Lepisosteus oculatus: one gene and its partner. The protein of the gene in region 2 purifies or fractionates together with the protein of the main gene of each other region. This does not show direct contact. Links are inferred from orthologs where the notes say so. Each region holds a gene or a part of one and is shown on either strand. Other genes may lie near its edges.

Region 1 (7,998 bases), on a different chromosome or scaffold from region 2:
ATTAAATTAAGCACTGTTCGATATGATGCAGCTCTGTAACCCTGCGACACAGCTGACAGCCCACTGAAGCCCAGCAGGTATGAGCCTGGTCAGTACCAGGGAGACTCCTGGGAAAAAGCTAAGGTTGCTGCTGGAAGGGGTGTTAGTGGGGCCAGCAGGGGGCGCTCACCCCGTGGCCTGTGTGGGTCCTAATGCCCCAGTATAGTGACGGGGACACTATACTGTAAAAAAAGTCACTGTCCTGCAGATGAGACATAAAACTGAGGTCCTGACTCTCTGTGGTCATTAAAAATCCCAGGGCAAATCTCCCCTGCAAGATATTGAGACTCAGTGACTTGTAAGTGTTTTCACACACACACACACACACACACACACCATGGTGCTTCCGGGACGCCCTGTACCTCGAACAGCATGCTCCACAGCATGCCCCGGCCCAGGTTGTCAACCACCACATCCAGCCAGGCCCCGAACTCCGACGTCTGGTTCAGGCGCCGGGCTGCCCAGCCGTCCACCCCTGAGATACCGAACACAGACACCCTGTCACTGCGCTGGTCTGGACTGGGCCCCGGGGTCTGGAGACACAGACACCCCGTCCCTGCGCCGGTCTGGACTGGGCCCCGGGGTCTGGAGACACAGACACCCCGTCACTGCGCCGGTCTGGACTGGGCCCCGGGGTCTGGAGACACAGACACCCCGTCCCTGCGCCGGTCTGGACTGGGCCCCGGGGTCTGGAGACACAGACACCCCGTCACAGCCAGGGAACTATAGTCCCTCTCGACAAAATTAAAATCAGGCTTTCAATATCAGTACCCTGTATTCTTCTGTTGCTTTGCCTTCTGCTTTCCCACTCAGTAGACCTACTATACAAAGTTTCCTCACCATCCAGTATGATGGAAATGACGTAGCAGGGGATGAAAACCTCAGGCTCGTGGAAGTAAGCCCAGGCGATGCCCAGCAGCAGGACCCGGATGTACCCTGTGCGACAAGAGATCACCTGTGAGAGGAGTGACGTCACTGACGGACCTTGGCCTTTATTATCTCTAACTATCTCCATCTAGGTGCGTGCAGCAGTGTCCATCTGAACACAAACGGCCCAAAGATGTATTGTTAAACGTAAGATTCCCTCAATTAAGATGGCATAAACACAGAACGGCACTACGCGAGCAGCCGTCGCGTTGGGAAGCCAGCGCGTCGCTCGCCGACACGCTTCTTAACCGTGCCTGGCTGGCGTACATATTGTTTTCGTTCCTCACCAATAACATTCGGGACGAACAGTAACACCTCCAGTCCCATTTCATCCCCTCCGGAGCGACGCCCGCCCCCTCGCCGACTGCACAGTCTCCACTTCCCGCACGGCTCCGCGGCTCGGCAGGAAGGGCAACTTCATCTCATCAGCTCAATATCACCTCCTGCAGCGCCCGTGACGTCGGCTACGGGGGAGAGGAAACAGCACCTCATTAACATACGCGGCGAGACGTCTGAGGGCCAGCTTGTCAAGCCCCGTTTCCACGAGAGTTTCTGCGGGAAGAGCGCCGTGGCGCCCTGAATTACTCCACCGACCGACCACCGTCACCCCTCCGCGTCTGTCTTCCTGATGCGCCGAGCCCGTCACCTCCACAGCAACGCGGGCAAACACGCTTCCTCTGCGTGTTTGTCTATTTAATTTTTGGTTCAAACTTTTATTTACGGTCATTATAATCCGATCGAAGAACAAAAGGTATCCGAAAAAAATGAGAGATAAGAGGGTGTAGCGTTGGACCTTTTTGTTTTGTGATTATGATATATAGGAAGTATTACCTACAGATTAACTGTAAATAAATGTTATTTTTCCATAGAACATCTACTTCCTCAGCGTTTCTCCTGTCAGGACACTTCGGCGGCAACCAGTAAGCCGCTGACCTCTGCAATGATAACTTTTCTCTTCAAGCATTTGAATGTGGGTGTTAGATCTAAGATGTTTGATATGATGTTATGCTGTACAATGGGAAAAGATCGTGTATTTCTAATCAATTATTGATAACGGATATAAATCGCATCCACAAAACAAAATGGACCAATACTACCCCCCTTCAATGCTTATAAGGCGGAAATACAATATTCCTTCAACTCCATAAAAGGCTAGAAAAAAACAAGGCAAAAAACACAATTGGCGTGTGTAAAATTGTAACCTGTCGTGTTCAGATTTGTAATTATCTCTGGCAATATATTGTTCTGGGTGTTTTTTTTTTGTTGACTTGTCTTTTTCCATCCATTTTCTCTTTTATCATGTATTAATGTTCAATAAAACTTGACTTTTTAATATCGGTAACCACAGTGGCACCAATGTGTTTCGAACATAGAAATGGTCCTACTAACGGTAGGGTATTTTATAAATATCGGAGTTTATTCCGTAAGTCAACCAAATTTCAAAACAAAACCGCTATTAGTTTATCAATAACTTGCTTGATCTGTTTTCATTTGTTTCAAGGTGATGCGCTGTATTTCTCCCTGAGGCCACTTGAGGTCGCTATAACATTATTGGGATCCTTTCCGGACGGGCCTGCAGGCCTCACCAGAATGAGCACATGAGACAGGTCACAGTCGAACCCGGGACTGACTGTCGTTGCTCTTGCCTGGTCTGATTCCAGAGCCAGCGTTAGTTTTTTTGTTTTGTAATGTGGTGACCAGAATTGTATACGATATTCTAAATGTGGTCTTGGAATTTTCTGCAATTTAGACAACATCACTTGCTTGAAATTAATCACTTTTAATGTCATGATAGTCTGTTTAACATTTTTTATGGCCTAGAAGACGACAATGATGTGCTAACAAGACAGTCCAAGACAGTATGAGCTGTTTATCATGCCTGTGGTTTGTTTGTGATACTGCATTCAACACTGTGCACCTGTGTAATTTTAATTTACTCTGTAAACTGTTTGCTCAGACGTCTTGAAAGCGCTGTTTAAATACTTTCAAATCCTTTGTCATTTCTACAACATTTGCCAGCTCTCCCGTATCTGATATCAACACCAAGAAGGCATTATAAATGTTTGTTTTTTCTTCCACTCCCACGTTTAAATCGCAGGCTGATTCCAGCGTCCTGTTTGTGGAAGTTGTAATAGTCCGTGAATGATGTGCGTTGTTTGACTACTCCTTTTTCAGACTACGTCTCCGTGTACAGTCCAGTTCAGAGGAAGTGAATTTGCTAAAATAAGTTTCACATCTCGGGTTCTTCTAAGGTCACCATTATGTGGCTGATCTAGTACAAGTCACAACTGGATTGCTAGGACAATAAAATGAAGAGAAAGAGGAAGGCAAGCGAACCAGTATTGTAGACCAGACCAGAAGAAACCCAACAGCATTGTTGCTTCTTGCTCTTTATTGGTAGAGAATTAATGAGAACAATACATCCTGTCTCTTAGTTCATCTAAACGAGTGTATTGATCTATGTTCCTCTTTACTATCTTGATTTGCTCCTCTTGCATTTTATATCTATTTCCTCTCAATGGGATTGTAATTTATCTTTGCCTTCGGCGCTGCTTACAGTCAAAGTTAGATGCAGTCCTTTTAGGCAAGGCAGCTGGTGTCGGATCCGCACTTACAAGGGAGGTTATCTTGTTCCAGAGTCATATTCTGATCTCTCACAAGCCAAAAGCCCTAAACGTTTTAGCTGTCAAATCGTGTCATTTCCCGTCCGAAAGCGATCCGATCATTTTCAGGGGTGTGTCTCGGGGTCTGCTCCCTGATTGGCCGAGACCTGGTCCCGGGGGGTGGAGCCAGCAGGGACAGTCAAACCTTGGTCCGGAGCTTCCGGTCATATATATCCGTATCCATTAACACCACGAAAGGGCTCATTCACCTGCGGTTTAATACAGGCTAACACTACACAAACACACTTACTTTCATTTCCCAACAGAATAATTATGCGCAAATGAGGCATAAAACGGGTTTTCAAAGCGCACTTTTTTTTAGCAAACGATAAAAACTGTAATTAATCAGTTGGCCCAATAATTAATGCAGCTGACTAATTAAGAGCTGATCTGAGACGAAGGCCCTTTGTCCCTCGAGCGTGTGGGTTCGAGACCTTTTACTATATTACTGTAAATCTCAGCTGGCGTAATTAGAATGATGTAAAAAAACAGTAATTGCCTTTAAAACAGAACTATGCTTTAACCTCTCAATAGGAAATGAGACCTCTTGTGACTCGAAACCTCAAAGACCATAAATCGTGGAGACAGTAAGTCTTGTGCACGATATATTGTCTAGGTCTTTCCTTCAGGGCTGTCTGTTTCCGTTCACAGGAAAACTTTCGCTGGTTCGCAGTATTTATTTACATAATTAAATTTTAATAAAATCAAATGGTTCATGATATACCAACTAACACTTTAAAGTGGGGGTTAATCCAGTCCTGAAGCAATCATGAAATTTAATTCTGCAAATTTCTTATATAAATCGTGTGAACATTACTGCAGTATTCCTACGAATACTAAAACAGTAGTCATTGTTTATTAAATGAAGTATGCAGACATTTTTTACATAAATTACTATTTCGCTCCTACTTGCTATTCGGTTGGTTCCTTTTGTCTGCAAATAGTTTAAAGTTATAAGATATTATTAAGTATGTATTTAATACATAATAGAAAGCAGAAGAGTATCAAGCATGGTGATGCACTTCACATGATTTTTTTCTCTTACTGTTAAGAGCTTTGAGAAGTTGATTTTGAAGACACTATATTATTATTATTATTATTATTATTATTATTATTATAGCGCTATTGATGCAGGAGAAATCCATTATCTTCGCTTCGCTCGCGCCAGCGGTGCAGTCAATGTCCTCGCGCCCGGCGCCTGCGCGCTGCAGTGCCGCTGTAGCTGTTTTCCTACCTCGTCAGGTGACCCGACATTAGGTTCGGTCATGTGACCAAGTATGGAGGCGTCGGCGAGGAAGAGCGTCATTCGGCGAAAACACTGAGGCTACGGTGGTGTTGGCATCGAGCGCACGACAAACCAGGGGGAAAAAAAAACAGGCAGCAGGCACCGGGTCCCCCCTACAGAATCATATCTCGCATTGTTGTGAAATGAGGGCAACATGGGCGCCAAGGAGTCGCGGATAGGGTTCCTGTCGTATGACGAGGCCGTTAAGAGAGGTGAGTGCTGTTACCGCTGGAGAAGGTGGGACTGAACACCCTGCGGTCAGTGACAGCAAGCGGGGCTCGCCTTGTTTACCGCACGGCTGCGGGGGGATCTGGAGCGCTGTCGGTTTCCCAGGCGGGCTGCAGGAGGCGAGGCGGTGTTGACAAGTGTCGTGTCCGTACTGAAGCTGCCCGGGGCGCTCGGTCGCTGAGGTGCTGGGTTCTGAAAGCCGAAGGAACCGCGATTCAGCAGAATTGTACAGAGGGGCAGGGGAGAATCTGGGGATCCGGGGTGAAGCGAATATTTTTTGTTTATTTTTCTGCGTTTTGTTCCAATTGGCCGAGGCCGAGCTCCGCTATCGGAATGTGACACTGTAGTACTAAGCAGCTTAAGTGATCCGGCACAACCCATTAGCAAATAAGGCTCAGAATACCAACAGGAATGAAGCCAGGCCGCCGATAACGTGTGTGCCCTGTAGTTGTGTGTGGCGAGCAATAATGATGGATAATCGTTAATTTAGGAGAGGAAGATTGCCTTTTTTTACTTTGGAGCTCAGGTCGGTACAGGACATTTACCAGATCTCCACCTTTGGAGGAAAGCGAGAGATCGCCCCTGTCATGCACGCCTAAAGCGTAAACAGCACTTTCTTTAATGATCGTTTAACGTTTATTTTGGTTTTTAATAGTTACACCAAACGCAGACTGAAAGCCCTTTCAAAACGCCCGTATGGGTGCATTGTTGTGGTGTCACTGTATCAAGGCCTTACTGCAAGGAAGTCTTCAGTAGCAGATTAATTTAGTGTTTTGTGTTACAGTTTCTGCTTTATGAAAGGCATTGACACTACACTTGAGACAAGCCCTTAGTTGTCATAATGGGTAAAATTTGAGATTGGATGCTTGGACATCCGACTGACAAACTCCCCTTGAAATGAGAACTTCTCACTTTGTTTTATTTTAAATGGAATAGTGGCCAGTGGCCTCAACACCCTCTGCTTTCTAATCCACAATGGTGTGTGCATCGGAGATCTGTCATCTGCAGATAAGCAGTGCAAGCAGGGCACCTCTGAAGAGCGTGTGAACAAGATGATGATGCACACCAGAACTGCAGAGCTCTCTGGTGTGTTAACAGCAAAACAATCATCAAAGTTAGTTTAAACTGTATTTGTTATTTATCTAATGGGGTTATTATTCTTGCATTCTTGCAAACTGCATTCTCTTACTATCCATTACTTAATCATTTGAGAAAAAATGCTGTGCCTGTGTATGAGTATCTATGTGTCGCAACACTGTTACTGTACGACAGTATTTATAGGCACGTTCTATTAGCACAGACTTCAGTTCCCTTCCCAGTAATCCAGTCTGTTTACTGGTGTAACCCTGTCATTTTCAGCAGCAGCAATCAGGACTCACTTTGGCATGTAATACCAAATAACGGCATGATAAATCAGAGCTGTTTATCTACAAAAAGGACAGGTCATTAAACTTTGAGCCAGTGCTGAAATAAGTAATAGTTTGCATTTATATAATTTCACTGCTGAAAACCAGATATTTAAGTGGGGAAAAAAAATTGCTTCTAATCTCTGTAGACAATGCGATAGAGAAAATATCATTCTGGCTTTTGCTAAAGACGTCTCCCAGACTCATTTATCACATCTACCCAAATTAACATTCCTGCAAACACTAGCTGATTTCTGTGTGAAGCAAGCAGTCTACATTAGTACAGAGCAGAAAGGGAAAAAAATGGATTTCAGTAGTAATGATGGTAATTTTACTCTTTTCTAAGCAGTGCAATGTTTATGAGGGTTAAATGAGAACGTATTGTACATAGTCCCTGGCAAACAATTATATTGAATTAAGTCAAGTACCACTGCAGCTTTGAACTTTTGCAGACTTTGCATTTTTGAATAAATATTGTCTGCAAAAAAATGTAGAGGTGGTTAGGATTGGAGAGGATTGGGGGGAGGGCTCTTCCGAGCTCTACATTTCCAATGTGAACGCCAATTAGAGACCAGCACCAGTGATTAAGTAGTCTGGTTAATTGCTACAGCACACGGTACTGTGTGGGGAAGCCCCTGAGGGGGAAGTGTTCTCTGACAGGAGCAGTTCTGTCTTCTCTTTCATTGCATTTGTGGCTGATGACGCATCAAATAATTTGCAGGGGTTTTACACCTGGTGTCCTACAGGGAAAAAAGATCTAGCATTGATCATATCGCTATTGCTCATTTGCAAATTTACTCTTTTTTAAAAACGTCTTGGGGATGGGGAGACACAAATGAAAGTGCAGACATTATCCTTTTTTTTTCCCTAGTAATTTCATGTTTCAACCTGTGCTGTTGAACAGAGACCTAAAGCCTGTACTGTTTTCTGGTCACCAGAGCCTTCTGTGTATTTTGAGAGGTGACTGTACTGCGAGAGTCGAGTTTGCTGCAGTTGAGCAAACTCACAGGGGTTAGTTTTAAGGTTAGCGCTTGCAAGGTGTAGTCTACTGCTGGTATGAATACTGTTCTAGCATCAGATCTTAAATTTTACCCATTATGACAACTTGTAAGGTATAGTCTACTGCTGATATGAGTAATCAAGTTAAAGCTATGGTGTAGTTTTACCTGCATGCCTGCTCAGATATCATGGTCAGGTAGATATAGAATAGGTGTGTGAAAGCTGTGTCAACAGTTTTCTGGCTGTTTTTCCAAGCTGAAGAGCAAAGTACCTGAACATTCAGCTGTTTCTCTGTGTCTGCTGTGTGCATACATTGTATTTATTTCTGATCAAGAAAACAATTTCCCTTTAGCTAATGTCCTTTCACATTGGTGTAAAACATGGTATTTTTGTGCCCTTTCCCAATTCAGATCCTTGGATGTTCTTATCCACAGTATGAGGTGTGTATGCA
Region 2 (7,918 bases):
GGCCATTCGGCCATAACTACCACTTTTCCAGTAGCTGTAACAACCACTGTAAAGAAGTATCTTGAGTGGCTCATGACATAACTCAGGATCTACATCACATAGTTCAGGTTAAGAGAATAGTCAGCTTCCTTCAGTCTGCATGCCGGAACATGTAGGAAAGTCAATGTAGATGATGCAGTTAGTACATTACTTCATAAATGTTCTCATTCAGAGAAACACAAGTCTTATTTGACTTCACTGTTGACAACTTTGAGTTTTTCTGGCCCCTGCAGATCTGTGTTCCGTTTATTCATAATCTGGAATGTAATGAGTTTCACTGCAACGAGCAGACAGATCAGTTCCTCTCCAGAGCACAAGAGAGCACTCAAGAAACAGGCCCTCTGTGACCATCTGGTTACTGCTTCCTGGGCTATATCTCTGACCTTGACCCTGAGTGTGCTTCTGGTTTACAGTCAAGGCAGATGGATGAGTGTAACCCTCTTCAGCAGGCCAGGAAAAGAATCAGAGTCCAGGCTAGAGAGGTGAAGCAAACACCAGGCCTTTATTTCAGGACTGAACTTAAGGCACCATACAGCAGCATGAAAGGAAGAAAAAGTTTCTCTCTCCTTTTTCTTTCTCCGCCCATTTCCTCTTTACAGCCAGATAACAGAAGTTACAATCCTCAATCCCACCCAACCCCCTCTTCCAGCAGCGAGATGGCTTTCCTTTCTAGCCTTTCTGTTTTCAAAAACTGAATTTGTAGCTGCCTGCAGTCTACGCGCTGCGTGTCATTATCCCAAGGACGTATTGTTAACAAAAGAAGTGCTTTAAACATAAAGAACTTTTTACAGATGCAAGGTCATTGGTGCTTTGAGTACAGGCATAATGTTATAACTGCAACAATTTTGAGATTATAATGGTGTTATATAAATGATGTAGGTGGGTGCCAGTACCTACAGCTTCCACATACCAAAAAACATTCCTGAACATCCCTGAAATTACACATCCCCGAAGGACCAATGCTGTGCTGAAAGGGGCTGGTGGGAAGTGTTTTAGGAGCTCAGTGTGATGAAGAACTGAAATGCAGACAAGTCTCAGGGATTCAGCGTCTACCAAACCTCAGAGAAGCATTGTGGTGCTGGTAAATTGTGACCTTGGGTAAATAACAGCTCTTAATCAAGAGCAGACTGCTTTCCCTCCCTTTGCAGCTTTCTGATCCAGTCTGTCAGAAAGGGAACACACAATACTCATTCTTGACCCCCTGCAGGGCTCAATCCTAGCTCCCTACTGCAAAGTTCCACGACAACAGCGCATTAATTAAAACACAGCTCGGCGTTTACTGACTGAACAACACAAACCTTCTGCCTGGGTGGGAGTCAGCAGCAGCTCTGACCTCAGGAGTTGCTCATTCAGAGACCCACTTCAACGGAAAGACAAACCTTCCCCTGAAGAGCGGGACTCTGGAGACCTGGTCTGGTCAGTCTGCACTGGTGCCCACGGCACACTCCGGGTTTCTGACTCATACAACACTCATTTCATTCCTCTTTTTTCCACCAACCTCATTTCCGGTAGATTGGATTCCTGGAGATCTCTGCACCCCTACCGTTTTCCAACCACTTCCCTAAGTGCCAGAGCAAACTTGATCCTGGTGGAAAAATGCCTTGTAAATAACCCTGGATATGTGGACACAGCCAAAGAATTCAGAGAAAAACTTCAATCTGAGTATTTTTAATATGAGTAATGCTTTAATAAGAAAAAATGTATGGGTGTCTACTTTTACTTCTTTTTTACAGACTAGTGTTTCCTGTTTGTTTGGTGTTCAGTTTGTTGGAGCAGCTTGGGCACCAGCAAGACTACAGCTGTGTCTCCATCTGGGACTGAACCCACAGACTACACAGCCTGGAGCACCGCCCCACACTGTGACGTGTCCACTCTGTTCCCTGTACTCCTGCTCTCTGCTCATCAGTGCCCACACTGTAGCCCGTACTCCTGCTCTCTTCATCTACACCAGACAAGCCTGCCTGCAAGACTGTTCAGTGCATCAGAACTCAGCACTTGCCTTGACAATTCTATTGAGCCTCTTTATATAGAAATATAGCAATTGGCTAAATACAAAACATGAAAGGTTTCCCTTTTCAGTGCCGATATTGCTGTACCTGTACCAGACTCCCAGCAGACGGCCATGTTTCACATAAGAAAGAAGAAACTCCTGTAGAAACCTCGGCTTCTCGGCTTCATGAAAAAACAGGCTGGTCACTGTAGCTGAGCTGGAAGTACTACAGCTAACCTGAGCCCAGCTAGGAGGTAAACAGTGTAGTATTGACTTTGGCGCTAACCCTCCAGAGCAGACTGTACTTACTGCAAGTGAGAGTCAACAGGAAATTGCGCAAAAGTAAATACAAACACTGAAATACCAGAGCAGGACCTGAAGGTTATTTCTAAAAAAAAACAAAACAAATTTCCAACCACAGCTTGTATGGTGTGCTTCGGGCTGGTGCTGGGGCTCTGTGTGGTCTCCCCCACTTCCCTTTGTGACCTGGGGTGTGGGTCAGAGGAGGCCAGCGTGCCTGTTGCTCAGTCGGGACTCCGAGAGCTGACACAGCGCTGCCCGCACCCTCTGGAGAGCGGTTTCATTACACTTCAGCGATTCTCTTCCTAAGAACATACAGCACGACTGGAGCAGTTTAATGTTCTCCAAAAGCATCGATCTGACAGCGATATGAAGAGACGCAGAAGCGCTGATGCAATCCTGCACGGCTCTCGCCTTCAGATGGCACACACACCGGTGTGCGGACTGCGCATCTCCAATGGGAACCAGTAACCAGTTCATCCGCAAACGCCAGCAGACGACTGTTATTTTTTTAAAAAAGCTCAAACTCACAGAAACCCCCTGAACATCCTACGTAAACTCATCATCAAAAAGCGCTCACTAACACACGCGAACATCTGCCGCTTGGCACTCAGGATCGTCATAAAGAAGCGCACAAGAACAGAGGTCAAACTGCAGACAACAGACCTCCTGTCTCCCCACATCCCACACACACACACACGGCCCAATATCGGATATACCTACCCTCGCCAGAACACCCTCCAATAGTGCCTGTTTCTCCCCTCCGCTTAATCCCGCACAAAGCGAACCGGCTAAATTCTCCAGACCAGCCGACACCGTCCCAGGACCCAGACACCTCTCGCAGCAGCAAGCTGACGTAACACACAGGCTGCAAGCGATCCGCCAATCATCGTGTCCGCAGCACGGGACTTCACCGGCTTCCGGCTCTGCCACATGTACACACGCAAAAACCGCAATATCCTAAAAAATAGATTCTTTGTCGTCCACAGGCAGAAGGGGGCTTAAATGCTTTAGATTTTAGGACATCTAATGCTATTTTTAAGATTAAATGGATACAAAACTATTAAAATAATTAGCAAAGTATGTGGCATATAATCCCCAATTTGATATTTCAAGAATTAGGGGTATAGAGTTTTTACTTAAGTGTAACTTTGACATTGGAAAAATCCCCTTGAAACTTCCTAGTTTTCATAAACGTACTTCTAACGTGGTCACTTATGTGTAAACATAACTTTTCCCCTCATAGATTTACTATTTGGAACAACTTTATATAAAAGTTAGAAATAAAACCTTGTTTTTAAAATTGGGTTAAGAATGGTATAATTTGGATTAAACAATTAATCAATGCTGACGTTGAAATATATAATTACATCGAGTTTGTTAATACAATATTTCTATTAATTTTGATCAGTATTTCATTGTAATTAACGCGATTTCTGGGGAAATATCGGCCTTTTGGCTAAGATCAAGTGTATCTACGCTTTTCAAAAAGCCGCCTGTAGATGACCAGACCAGTCCCGAAACAAATAAGACACATGAGATGCTACAGGCATCTTGGGTTTTGAGGAGTACAGCCTGGCTTCCCGAACACAAGCAGCAGATACATGCTCGACCTGTAGGAGTTAAGCACGAAGAGGTCCTAAAATATCTCCTGTAAACAAATTACATGTTTTGGAATGCATGAATAACATTGAGATAATGTTGACAGATAGATGCGAGTATGCATTTACAGATAATTATTCAGATCGCCTCTAAATGCCCTGCAGTATTTTTAAGTGAACGACGTTTACAGCGCTAAAATACATCCTAAGTATGTATTTGACGCTTTTATTAGCAGACCATTCTTAAAATTAAAGGTACGATGGATTGGTCAGCACTGTAATGCGACTATAACAGTTCAGTGTTAAGTCTTGTGTGAATTTCCAAATTAGGTTTTGGCATCGAAAAAAATACTAATTTCGTGGGTCACATACAAGTTTAAAAGCATTATGAAGGATCAACCAAGAATTTAGAACTTAATATTTTTATACCTTCGCAGTTTTTATTCTCATGTAGCCTCACTCGATATTACCCTTGGGGCGATGCATTTACTCCAACCTCTGAAATCCTTACGTAAAGGCAAGTTAAAAGCTCCGTGAAGCTGCCCCCCCTACAGACAGCACAAACGATGAAACCCACCTCATTCGTTAGCGCTACGTTTGTGCCGGTTTGTGCCGTTGAAAGTAGCGTTTGTGCTGCTTTCGTTCCCGAGATACACAGTGACTTTGACCTCCAGTGACCCCGTCTGCCGAGTTCAAGCGCTCTGTTACAGTTTAGCTCGTACCATTAACATTATAAAGACAATCAATATCCATAAACATATGAGCCTCCTTAGATGTGAATAATACTAAGACATGACGCATGCCGACAAGTTAACCATCTATGACATGAACCTGTGGCTGTAATTTACGTAAAATCACCGTGATTGTAAGATCTCTGTTTTTCCTTTTCTTCCTTTTCCTTTCTTTTCCTACCGTGACTTTTCCTGTTGCCAAACGCGTAACTGTGGGATACCATCGGGCAAGACCTCCGCAGCTTGTCATGATAGGGACCCCATGTATATCGCATGTATATCGCGGCAGTGTATATCACGACTGGCGCCTTGCTTCCATGCCACCCTGCCACAGCTATCGCAACAGGTCTCATATCAGGACATGATATACCCAGATAGACGTGTCGCGATGTATGTACTCCATGTCACGACATGGGGGTGGGGCATTTTGTCAGGGTATGTCATATCGCGATATACGGACTCCATGTCGCGACATAGGACAGGGCATTTTTGTCGGGGTATGTCATATCATGTCGCGACATGTTCTGTAAGGAATACATGGTATTTGAACAATTTTAATCGTATATTTAAGGTAGAGGAAACACCTGCTTTGTACTTCAAAAATGAATAGAAATGTAAAGTCTATGATCATTATATTGTTATGCTCGTGCTTTCAATGTTGTTTTTAATTGTTAAATTATATCGCTCTTGAAACTAATACCTAAAAATGTGAATATGGGCTCTCGTGTTGAACCAGCGGCATTTTGGAAACTGGTATCTCTTCACCAATGAAAGGAGTACACAAGCAATACATTTTCGGGAACATGGTTAAAAATTAAAAGAAAACACCTAACCCGATGAACTGTTGTGACATCTGTTGTGCTTCACAATCAAAGTGATCAGCGTGCTTCAGCTACGATTACCAGCTGATGCAGATGCCAGTATCATCAGTAACTCCTGTGCACTAGTACTGCCTACAGTCTTTCCACCGGCTCTTAAAGAGAAGAAGCAGACTCTGGGTTTTTATAGCGGCTGACATTTAACCAGTTACCAGCTCATTCCATCTGCAACAGATTTTCTACGCAAAATAAAATAAAAGCATCGTGAAGCCTGATTTCATGAGGTTAATTGATTTTTGGAGACCTGTATCTGTGTGAATGTTTCTGTTTAATACTTTGCAGCATTCTCATCTGCATATTTGAATTTAAAAGCTGTCAAGAGTTTTGTGTTGGTAGGATAGTTTGGCAGACAATCACTAATAGTAGTGATGCACTACTTTTGTTCTGATTTTTGACAATAGTGGATTCTTACAGATAATAAACCTGTTATACGTGTTTTCCTATTTGTATAAGAAAACAAGGGACCTCTGAGAGCACAATCATATCTATAGAGTTCATCATTGGCTTCTCTTACAAGTGAATCTTCCAGTATCCATAATAGCGCAGGAACAGGTGTTTTTGTTTTTTAAACATCACAGAATCGGCCAATAGAAAACACAGTACAGATATGTGCATGCTCAGAGTGGTGCAGTACCACAGGAGATCTGACAAGTCTGGCTTTTCCTAACAATCAATGTTCCGATATTAAAGTATACAAGTCTATATAGCAAATACTACATAAGCAGCAAAAGACGTTTTAAAAGACTTGGAGAACATTCAAGGGAGGGCAAAAAATAAAATAAAATGTATTTTCCGGCAGATTACATTTAATTGTGAATACCAAAAACATAAACTATAAATATGAAATGGGAAACTGCTTCAAGACACTACTAATGAAGAATTGGGTGTTTATAGTGATGCATCATTTAATTCTTATAGGCAATGTGGGTAAGTGATACAAACGGCAAACAAAGTGCTACGATAAATGTTTGAAAGTGTAGAACATGAATCACGGGATGTTATGTTGACATTGTACCTAATCAGCGTGACTTATGTGAAATTGAAACTAGACGATGCAAGTGGAAACTATTTGGAAATGCAACTGAGATTGATTTACAACTGAGTACAGGAGGAGTCTTTACACAAAGAGCTGCGGAACAGGGAACACCTGTCCGGCCCGGTTGCTGAAGGATTGACTTCTTTCAAGAAACGGCGTGGATCGTTAGCTTCTAAACGGCTTTCTTTCCTTTGTCACGTCTCTTGTGTTACAAACAGAAATATAAATAACGTTTAAATTAGCCACGCGAAGATAAACATCAAGCGAAACTAAAGACGCTGTTGCTTTCAGGATCAGCAGGTCCAGCTCAGATCTTCCGGGGAATGCACCGCAGTCCGTGCAGCTCCGCACGTCTCAGTGGGCCGTGTTGCGGAGATCTCCAAGGGTACAGTCTGAAGTGTGACGTGCTTGCTTGCTTTAATACGATACTCGCTGGAAGTCAAAAGGCTTGGATTTCCGTGAAAAGTTATATAAAGGATAGACTGGTTTTCAAACTGAACAACACCCGTCTGCCAAACAAAATGTACGCATATGCACACACATGACAAGAACTTCTTATAAATGAAAACGAATGAACAAAATGATATCCACATTTCTAGCAGATATCAATGTGAAATAGTGATTGCGAGGTAATGCGGTTCTCCGTCGCTAGATGGAGCCTAAGTTACAGTGTGGAGCTCCCTGGAGTCAAATCTGGATAAACTAAACATGCAAGTTGAATACACGACGTTTTGTGAACCGTACAAGAACGGACTGCTGATCTGTTTTAATGTATTTCTGAATAAGGTGAATTAATTCAACTGTACATGTAAGAAATAATCTTTGATACCATTATTAGCTGGTTACATTATTTTTATAATTCACTGCTAAGACGTGGTGCCTTGCATCAGGCTAGAGGGTGTGCTGTGGGTTCCGGATTAATGAGATCAGCACTGAGCAGCGCCTGTCCCGGCCTGGTCTCCAAGGCACGCCGGTACCGTCCCGCGCACCTGTCTGCCTCACCTGGAGGGGCAGGGCCAGAGCAGCTCGCGGGGAGGGGGCCGCGGCGCGTTTCCAGGGCGACTCCAGCGCGCACCGTGTTCGCCAGGTTTAAAAGCCAGACCCCCAGGAGCGAACCTCGTCAGCACGAGCCTCGGCGTCCGCACCAGTGCTTTAAGGGGGCAGCGGCGTTAGTTTTCTCCTGTATGGACAGTCGTCACCGGGGTTCAGGGGCGCGTCGGTGCAGCAGGGGGCGGGTCATTCTAGCGAAGACTAGCGCATTTTAGTGTGCGCACACTACAAGTGAGCAGGTCAGGGATGGAGAACTCCAGCCTCTCGCTTCTTTTCAAGGTGGTGGGCGTGCT

The links. Proteins that work in one complex are often made in the same cells at the same time.
Region 1: the proteins of slc31a1 (region 2) and usp32 purify together in Homo sapiens (co-immunoprecipitation; 3 studies listed by BioGRID and IntAct, with this or other methods). This does not show direct contact. The link is inferred for Lepisosteus oculatus from reciprocal best matches to the Homo sapiens genes SLC31A1 and USP32.

What each region holds. Positions count from the first base shown.
Region 1 is NC_090721.1:8,329,421-8,337,418, forward strand, and holds the start of usp32 (ubiquitin carboxyl-terminal hydrolase 32), read left to right. Parts: upstream 1-4,896; 5' UTR 4,897-5,068; coding exon 5,069-5,126; intron 5,127-7,998. Other genes in the region: si:ch1073-145m9.1 (CDP-diacylglycerol--glycerol-3-phosphate 3-phosphatidyltransferase), read right to left, coding at 402-514, 880-975, 1,254-1,293. UniProt on the Homo sapiens protein: Deubiquitinase that can remove conjugated ubiquitin from target proteins, such as RAB7A and LAMTOR1.
Region 2 is NC_090719.1:255,420-263,337, reverse strand, and holds the start of slc31a1 (high affinity copper uptake protein 1), read right to left. Parts: upstream 3,240-7,918; 5' UTR 3,053-3,239; intron 2,306-3,052; exon of another isoform or gene 2,136-2,305; intron 1,625-2,135; 5' UTR 1,543-1,624; coding exon 1,538-1,542; intron 1-1,537. Other genes in the region: cholesterol 7-desaturase nvd, read left to right, coding at 7,872-7,918.